Diceros bicornis minor: one gene and its partner. The protein of the gene in region 2 interacts with the protein of the main gene of each other region in a biochemical or structural test. Links are inferred from orthologs where the notes say so. Each region holds a gene or a part of one and is shown on either strand. Other genes may lie near its edges.

Evidence for each region.
Region 1: the proteins of ARL2 (region 2) and PDE6D are reported together in a solved structure, tested with the Homo sapiens proteins (2 studies listed by BioGRID and IntAct, with this or other methods). The link is inferred for Diceros bicornis minor from reciprocal best matches to the Homo sapiens genes ARL2 and PDE6D.

The regions. Positions count from the first base shown.
Region 1 is NC_080776.1:20,151,887-20,155,635, forward strand, and holds the start of PDE6D (retinal rod rhodopsin-sensitive cGMP 3',5'-cyclic phosphodiesterase subunit delta), read right to left. Parts: upstream 2,351-3,749; coding exon 2,347-2,350; intron 1,636-2,346; exon of another isoform or gene 1,509-1,635; intron 1,153-1,508; coding exon 861-1,152; intron 1-860. UniProt on the Homo sapiens protein: Promotes the release of prenylated target proteins from cellular membranes. Modulates the activity of prenylated or palmitoylated Ras family members by regulating their subcellular location.
Region 2 is NC_080770.1:8,121,281-8,125,029, forward strand, and holds the start of ARL2 (ADP-ribosylation factor-like protein 2), read right to left. Parts: upstream 2,247-3,749; 5' UTR 2,196-2,246; coding exon 2,131-2,195; intron 1-2,130. UniProt on the Homo sapiens protein: Small GTP-binding protein which cycles between an inactive GDP-bound and an active GTP-bound form, and the rate of cycling is regulated by guanine nucleotide exchange factors (GEF) and GTPase-activating proteins (GAP).

The DNA of each region.
Region 1 (3,749 bases), on a different chromosome or scaffold from region 2:
CTACTATATCCTACCATGTCCCCAATGTAATCAAATAATTGCTGGACAGCTCCCCCATGTCTATGCGTTAACCACACATGTGAGCACGCCAAGATCCCTTTGCCAGGAGTCCCAGGGCAAAACCAAGACACCTCAAGGCATCTCAGCCACAAGTTTAGGGTCCTCATTTGGTGGAAAGAAAACTGAGGATCTGAGGGGAGAAGAAGTGACCGTCCAATGCCTCAAAAGGCCAAGGCAGAGTTAGATCTCGGACTTCTCTCTCCCCACCTTGCTCTGCTCCAGCCCTGGAAGGAGCCACAAGTGAGGAAGAGAAGTTGCAGAAACACGGCGGGGGTGGGGTGGGGGGTGGTATGGGATGCGGGCACCCGAGAGAGTTTAACACAAGCATTTGCACTTGTCCCACACAAGGTCATTCGCTCCAAGTCACTTTTCCCTGCTCCCGCCGGGGGCTTCCCGCCCAAGAGGCTGCTGGGCTTCGAGGCCAGCCCACCGCGCCCCCTCGGCCCTTCCCCGTGGGCCGCAGCCCCTTCCCGGCTTCTGGGTGCGGGCCGGAGTTCGGACGCCAGCTGGCCTCCCTGCCACCCGTTTCCCACGCCCGGCGCCTCTCCCCGACCGATTCTGGGGCTCCTCCGCCTGCACCCCCCGGCGCTCCCGTCAACGACCCCTTCCTCCCTCAGGACGCCCCTTTCCCCACCTCCAGAGCCGGTCCCGCCGGGGGCCCGGGACGCCGCTCCTGCCATCTCCTCCCGCCGCCCTCTCCTCGGGCGCCCACCTGGCGCGGCCCCCGCCCCCGGCCTGTCTCCTCAGCCAGCGGCCGCCTCCCAAGTCCTCCCGGCCCCGCCCCGCTCCCAGGCGGATACAGTTTGAAGCCCCTCAGGATCTCCCTGGCCCGGTCGTCCTTGGCTGACATGATGCGGCGACCGCCGCCCGCGGCTCTCCCACGCTGGCCCGGAGGAGCCTCGTAGACGGTGACCAGGAGCCGAGGACTGAGCTGCAGCCGGGCCTGGAGACCTCCGGCGAGCAGCGGCAGCGGCCAGACCCGGACCGGCCTCTCTCTCCCCTCAGCTCCCGCTCCTGATTCCTTCTCCTTCCCTCTAGCCTCGGAGCGCCCGCCCCGAAGCCAATGGAAAGCCCGCCTCGGCGATTGGCATCCTGATCAGCCAATGGAAACACTCAGCGGCTTCAAGGGGGGACGATGAGCGTCAATGGGAAGGGCCCTCCCGGGGAAGTCCCGTAGGACAAATTTTTTTTTTTTTTTTTTCATTCGGTGCTGTTGCCTAGAGTTTTCCCCAGTGGAGGATTTTAGATCTGCAGAGGCTCGAGGGGCCTGCTCCCGCTGCTGGGCACACAAGGGCTCTGAGATGACAGCGGGTTGCACCGTGAGATGTGGCGGAGACTACATTTCCCAGAATCCCAGGGGACCACAGATCCCAGCAAGCAACAAAGAGGCCCAGGGACTACAAATCCCAGCATTCCCTGCACTCTATTCCTCTGTAACTTGGACTCCAGTGTGCCGCGCAGTGTGCGCAAATTCATAAACCGTGCCTCAGGTTTGGTAGTTTCTGAATCCGGAGACTTGAAACCAGGCGGCAAGACCCTCTTCACCCTCAAAAGAAGATGACAGCCCACAGAGAGGTAACTTTTGTTTACATGGAACTCAGAAATCTCCTGCAAATCATGGTAAGGCTGCAAACAACAAACAGAAACACTGATTAAACCATGAGAGATAATAAGATAAAATGACTCCTTCAAACCTTGCTTGTTTGTTGGTCTGGAGCGCCTTTTACGTTTTTTGCAGGGGTTTCTGGTGTGCTCCTGCGTTGGACCGGGAGAGATATCGATAGTGTACTCAGAATATCAGTATAGGAAGGGACTTTAGAGAATTTGCTAATCCAACCCCTGTTGTTTTACATATGAGGAAACTGAGACCCAGAGAGGCAAGGAGATTGTCCACGGGTCACAGCAAGTTGGGGCAGAGTTAGAATTCGGCCCTAAGTTTCCTGACACTCTCTGGGCTCTTTGCACCACACTAGGGTGGCGATATTTTTAGCAGCATGGCTATGTGGTTATTCTTCTCCCTGGTGAAGTTTCCCCATCGGGGTTGAAACACCCAGAGGTTAGGTAAGCATTTATTTGGTGGATTTCCTCCAAATGAAGGAGTGTGATGTTTATCTTCAGTCTAGGTAGGACTTGGTGTTTTGCTTTGTTCTTTGTTTGTTTGTTGCTCAACGTGACATTTAACGTGATTTCAGGAACTGGGTAAAATTGTAGTGTAAGCTCAAGTTTCCTGGAAGATCTCCTGTCTGTTTTCCTAGGCTTTCCTTCCTCTTCCTGTCCCTCTCTCACCCATCTGGGCACTCACCCAATTTTTCCTTCCATGTAATTCCACAAACAGCTTTTTCAGCTTTTGTTATTTGCCAGGCTTTCTATAAAAGCTGAAAGGCATGGTCATTGCCACCAGGAAGATAACCATCTAGTTAGTGAAATAAGGAGACTCCACTGAGATTCAAGGTGGACTGTGATAAATGGCATAAAAGAAAGGACGTCAGAATGCTATAGAGGCTCTGATGGAGAGATGTATTCCATTTATTGATGGAGGAGGTCGCATTTGAACTTGAAGGATGCACAGGATTTTTTTTCTATGTTAAAAAATTTTATCTTTACATTTTTTTGTGTGTGTGTGAGGAAGACTAGCCCTGAGCTAACATCCCGATGCCAATCCTCCTCTTTTTTGCTGAGGAAGATAGGCCCTGGGCTACCATCCATGCCCATTTTCCTCTGCTTTATATGGGATACTGCCACAGCATGGCTTGACAAGTGGTGCGTCGTTGTGCACCCCAGATCCGAACCTGCGAACCCCGGGCCACCAAAGCGGAGTGCATGCACTTAACCGCTGTGCCACCGGGCCAGCCCCATCTTTATATTTTTTTGTTAATAAGGTATAACACATACAGTAAGGGCACAATTTTTGCATATGTATACACCTGTGTCACCACCCCCCAAATCAAGATATAGAATATTTCCAGCACCCCTTGTGCCCCTTTCCAATCAGTACTTCATCGTCCCATCCCAGTAACCATTCTTCTGACTTCTGTTACCATACATCAGTTTTGTCTGTTCTTGAATTTCATTTAAATGTAATCATACAATATGTACAGTATGTCTGGCTTTTTTCATTCATCAATATTTTTGTGAAATTCATCCATGTTGTATGTAGCAGTAGCTTGTTTTTCTTTAAATTCGTGAGTAGTATTCCATTGTCTGTATATAGCACTGTTGATCTATTCTACTGTTGATGGGCATTTAGGTAATCAGTTATCAATTTTTGGCTTTTATTAATAAAGCTGCAATGAGCTTCTTATATGTTCCTTCTTGTGGACTCATTTCTAGGAGAGGAGTTGCTGGCTTGTACGGTGTGCATATGATCAGCAATAGTAGATATTGCCAGTTTTCCAAAATGTTTGTACCAATTTTCACCTCCACCAGCAGTGTAAGAGAGTTCTGGTTGACTCTTATCTTTGTCAATACTGGGTGTTGTCAGTCTTTTTAATTTTAGCCATTTTGGCTAAATGTGGTATCTCATTATAGTTTTTATTTACATTGTCTGGTGTTGAGCACCTTTCCATATGCTTATATGAACATCCTCTTCTGTGAAGTGCTTGTTCAAGTCTTTTGCCCACTTTTTAAATTGCGCTGTTTGTCTTCTTACTGATTTGTAGTTCTTTGTATAGTCTGGATATGGAGTTCTT
Region 2 (3,749 bases):
GTTGTCCAGGGCTGGCCCCGTGGTTAAGTGTGCGCGCTCCGCTGCTGGCGGCCTGGGTTCGGATCCCAGGCGCACACCGGCGCACCGCTTGTCTGGCCATGCTGAGGCCGCGTCCCACATACAGCAACTAGAAGGATGTGCAGCTATGACATACAACTATCTACTGGGGCTTTGGGGAGAAAAATAAATAAATAAATAAAATTATAAAAAAAAAACAAAAAACCGTTGTCCATACTCGCCCTCTCAATTTCTGTCCTCTTGCCCTTTCTTGAACCCGTGAGGCTCCCACTGCTTCCTGGAAATTGCTCTCACTGAGGTCAGCCCCTAAAGACCCGCACGTAGCCCTCCCGTGGCCGGGCAGTCCTCACCCCTCGTCTTCCTGCTCCATCAGCAGCACGTGAGACAGCGGCCTGCCCCTTCCTCTGCTCCAGGACATGCCCTTGCCTGTACACCTGCCTCCCAAATCACCCATCCTCATCTCCCTGACCTCTTGATCCAGGTAAGCCTGGGTTCCCTTCTCTGTCCACACTCATCCTCAGTGCTCTCACCCAGGATCACGGCTTCATACACCATCTTTATGCTGATGACACCCAAATTTATACGTCCCACCCAGCTGCTCCCCTGGACATCAGTCCCTACATCCAGCTGCCTATCTGACATTTCTAGGATGTCTCAGAGGAGCCATCTCAGCAAGTGGCTCCTCTTTTTCTAATTGCTCAGGGCAGAACCCTAGGAGTCAGGCTTGATTTCATTCTCCCTCTCACACTCCCAGCCAATCCAGCAGTAATTCCTGGGGGCCCTACTGTCAAAATGTCCCCCAGCTTCCATCACCTCACTGCTTCCATCCTGGCCCAAGCCACCAGGCTGTCTCTCCTGGGTTAGAGCAAGGGCCTAGCTGGTCTCAGATCACACCTCCCCTCTGCACTGCACTTAAAGAAAAAGCCATGAACCACAAGGCCCTACAGGAGGTGGTTCTTCCACCACCTCTCTGTCCTAATCTTCTAGTATTCTCCTTGCCCATTCTCTCCAGCCACATTGCCCTCCTTGACGTCCCTTTGAACACACCAGTTGAGCTCCTCCTTCGAGGCCTTTGCCTGTGCTGTTCCCTTTGCTTAAACAATCTTCCCCACATACCTACATGGTTCATCCCTCACCTCTCTGTTTTAATCAACTGTCACTTACTCAATGTGGCCTTCTTTAACCAGCTTATTTAGACTGCATTCTATTCCATACATACTATATATTTTACTCATTTGCTTTGTTAATATCTTTCTCCCCCCAGCATCATAGAACGTCCATGAAGGTAGGATTTTTTTATTTTGCTGTTTCCCCCAGCACCTAGGGCAGCGCCTAGCACATAGTAAGCGCTCAATATTGATCGGATAAGTGAATTCTGTGCCTTTCTGGGAGCTCTTTAAGACACGATGTGACTATTATTTTAACTTATTTGCGCACATAAATGTCTCCCTTCCCCTGCTAGGGGAGCTCGGGGTCAGGCCCGCCCAGCTCTCAGATCGCAGAGCCCCCACGGGTCCCTCACAGAGTAGGGCGAACCAGTGCGGACGCCTGGTAATGGGACTCAGAAGGTCGGCGGGGCCCCGGGCCTACAGGCCGCCAGCCGCGGGGACACCGACGGGCCGAGCGGCAGCAATGAGAGGGACAGTTCGATCCACGGTCGAAACGACCCGCGGAGTCCACACCCGCCTGCCCCCGGGCGGAGGGCGGGTTCCAAACGCCCCAGGGATTCCGACCTTGAGGGCGGGGCCGGGCTTGGCCCCCCTCAGACAGAGGGGAGGAGGTCAGAGCCGGGGAGGATACCGGCCCCTCCTCGGGCCAGACGGACGGGCAGTGGCGTCCGGGTCACCTCCGGGCCCCACCTCCCCCCTACACTGCGGGCCTTCAGGCCCACACCCTTGGCCTTGGGAACGGAGACCCCCCGCCCGAGCCAGTGGTACGGCCCCCTTCCGGCCCCCCGCCAGGAGCGGTTGGTAGGGCCCACGTGCGTGACGCACACTGGGCAGTTGGTACGGGCCGGCCGGCCGTGGCCCCCGCGCCCGGTAGGGGGCGCCTGGCACCGCCCGCCCGGCGGGGCCCTCGCTACCCCCGCGGCTGCGGCGTCCGGGAGGATACAGCATCAGCAACCGCAGCTCCCGCTCTTTCTGCTTCATCTTCTTCAGAATGGTCAGAAGCCCCATGGTCGCGGTAGCCCCCTCTCGGCCGCCGTTTCTTTCTAGTCCCGGGACCCCTCTCCTTGCTCCTATTGGCTAGCACTCCCACCGGCAGCTCAGCCGATTGGTCGGCCTCTTGCTTGGTCCCGCCCTCTCCCCCACGTGACCGCGAAGTCGCCCGGCGGTGCCGCTGCGGCGGTCCCTCTAGCGGTGCTGGGGGCTTCTGCGCGGCCACCTGCGTTAACCCTTCACATCCCGAGGGCTTAGGGGACGAGGGCACCGCCATTCCTCCGCAGCAGGATCCCAGACTCAACCGGGAATGGAAACCTGAAGTTTCCTGGGTTGTATCTTGCCTGCAAAGAGAGAAATTCTAACTCAGGAGTCAGAACCGAGAGCCCCAAGGATGTTGACCAGCTCATCCTGGGGCCAGCATAGGGCTCTGTGCCCCGGAAACGTGGTCCAGATCCTGCGCATCTTGGGCCTCCCCCTTTCCCTGGCTCCTCAGATGGGAGACGGTGGGCCGAGGGTTCTCCATCGAGGGCGAAAATGCCTCCCAGGGGCCGTTTGTGCAGGGGCGTCATTGGGTTGTCCCAATGGCAAGGTAGAGTCCCTGTCCTTTAGAGGGCAGAGGACAGACCCGCACAAAGAATTGGCCTGCCCGAGATGCCCATCGTTTCTCTGTTGAGAAGCACGATTCATTTTGCCACTGAGAAAATTGAGGCTCACCGGGCGCTTAGCACAGCGACTGGCATATAGTAGGTGGTTTGTTGTTGAATGAATGACGTTGTCCAAGAGTTTGGTTCTTTACCTTGGCGCTCAAGTCCAGAAAAAGTGAGGAAACTGAGGCAAGGGACTAGGCAGATTGTAAACTCAGAAGGGTGAGCTTTGTTGTCTTGTTTTGAGCCCTCCTTCCAGCCCTCTACAAGATAAATATGAGTAGGCAGCCCAGAGTAGGCTTTGTCTGATGCGTGGGAAAGAACAGTCAGGCACCGGCTGAAGATAACGGCTAACTTCTGTGTAGTTGTTTACAAAGCACTCCGTGCTTTCTACTTCATCCCCCTGGCAACCCTGAGAGGTTTATTTCCTTTTTGTAGATGTGATAGTGGAGTCAGAGTTTAAGGAGCTTGGGCAGCGATTTAAACTCAGGTCTGGTCGACAGTCAAGTGCACTGCGTTTCCTGGTCCCTCCATGGTGTTGGTCTGGAGAGGGAGAGATCTGGAGTGGTCTGGACCTTCCCATCCTGCAGAAGAAGGTTGTGGACAAGGGAGGGCTGGACAGAACGGGGTGCCTGGCTGGGCCCCCTGGGACAGCACTATTTACCCTCCACCAAGCACACCCAAGGGAACAAAGTGGGCGTAACTCCTATTCAAAGGCTTTAAGACACAACTGAGATCACAGTGTGCCTGCCGTCCTATCTCCATGAGTCTCTGCTACAGAAATTCTAGCACCAGCAAGTGAACATTTATGACAAGGAAGTTCTCTGTGGCATGGTGTGGAATAGCAAGAAACTGGAAAAAATTGAAGTGCCTTCAGTGGGGATCAGTTACCCTGCTTGGGGTATGCATGTGTGGTGAATTCCAT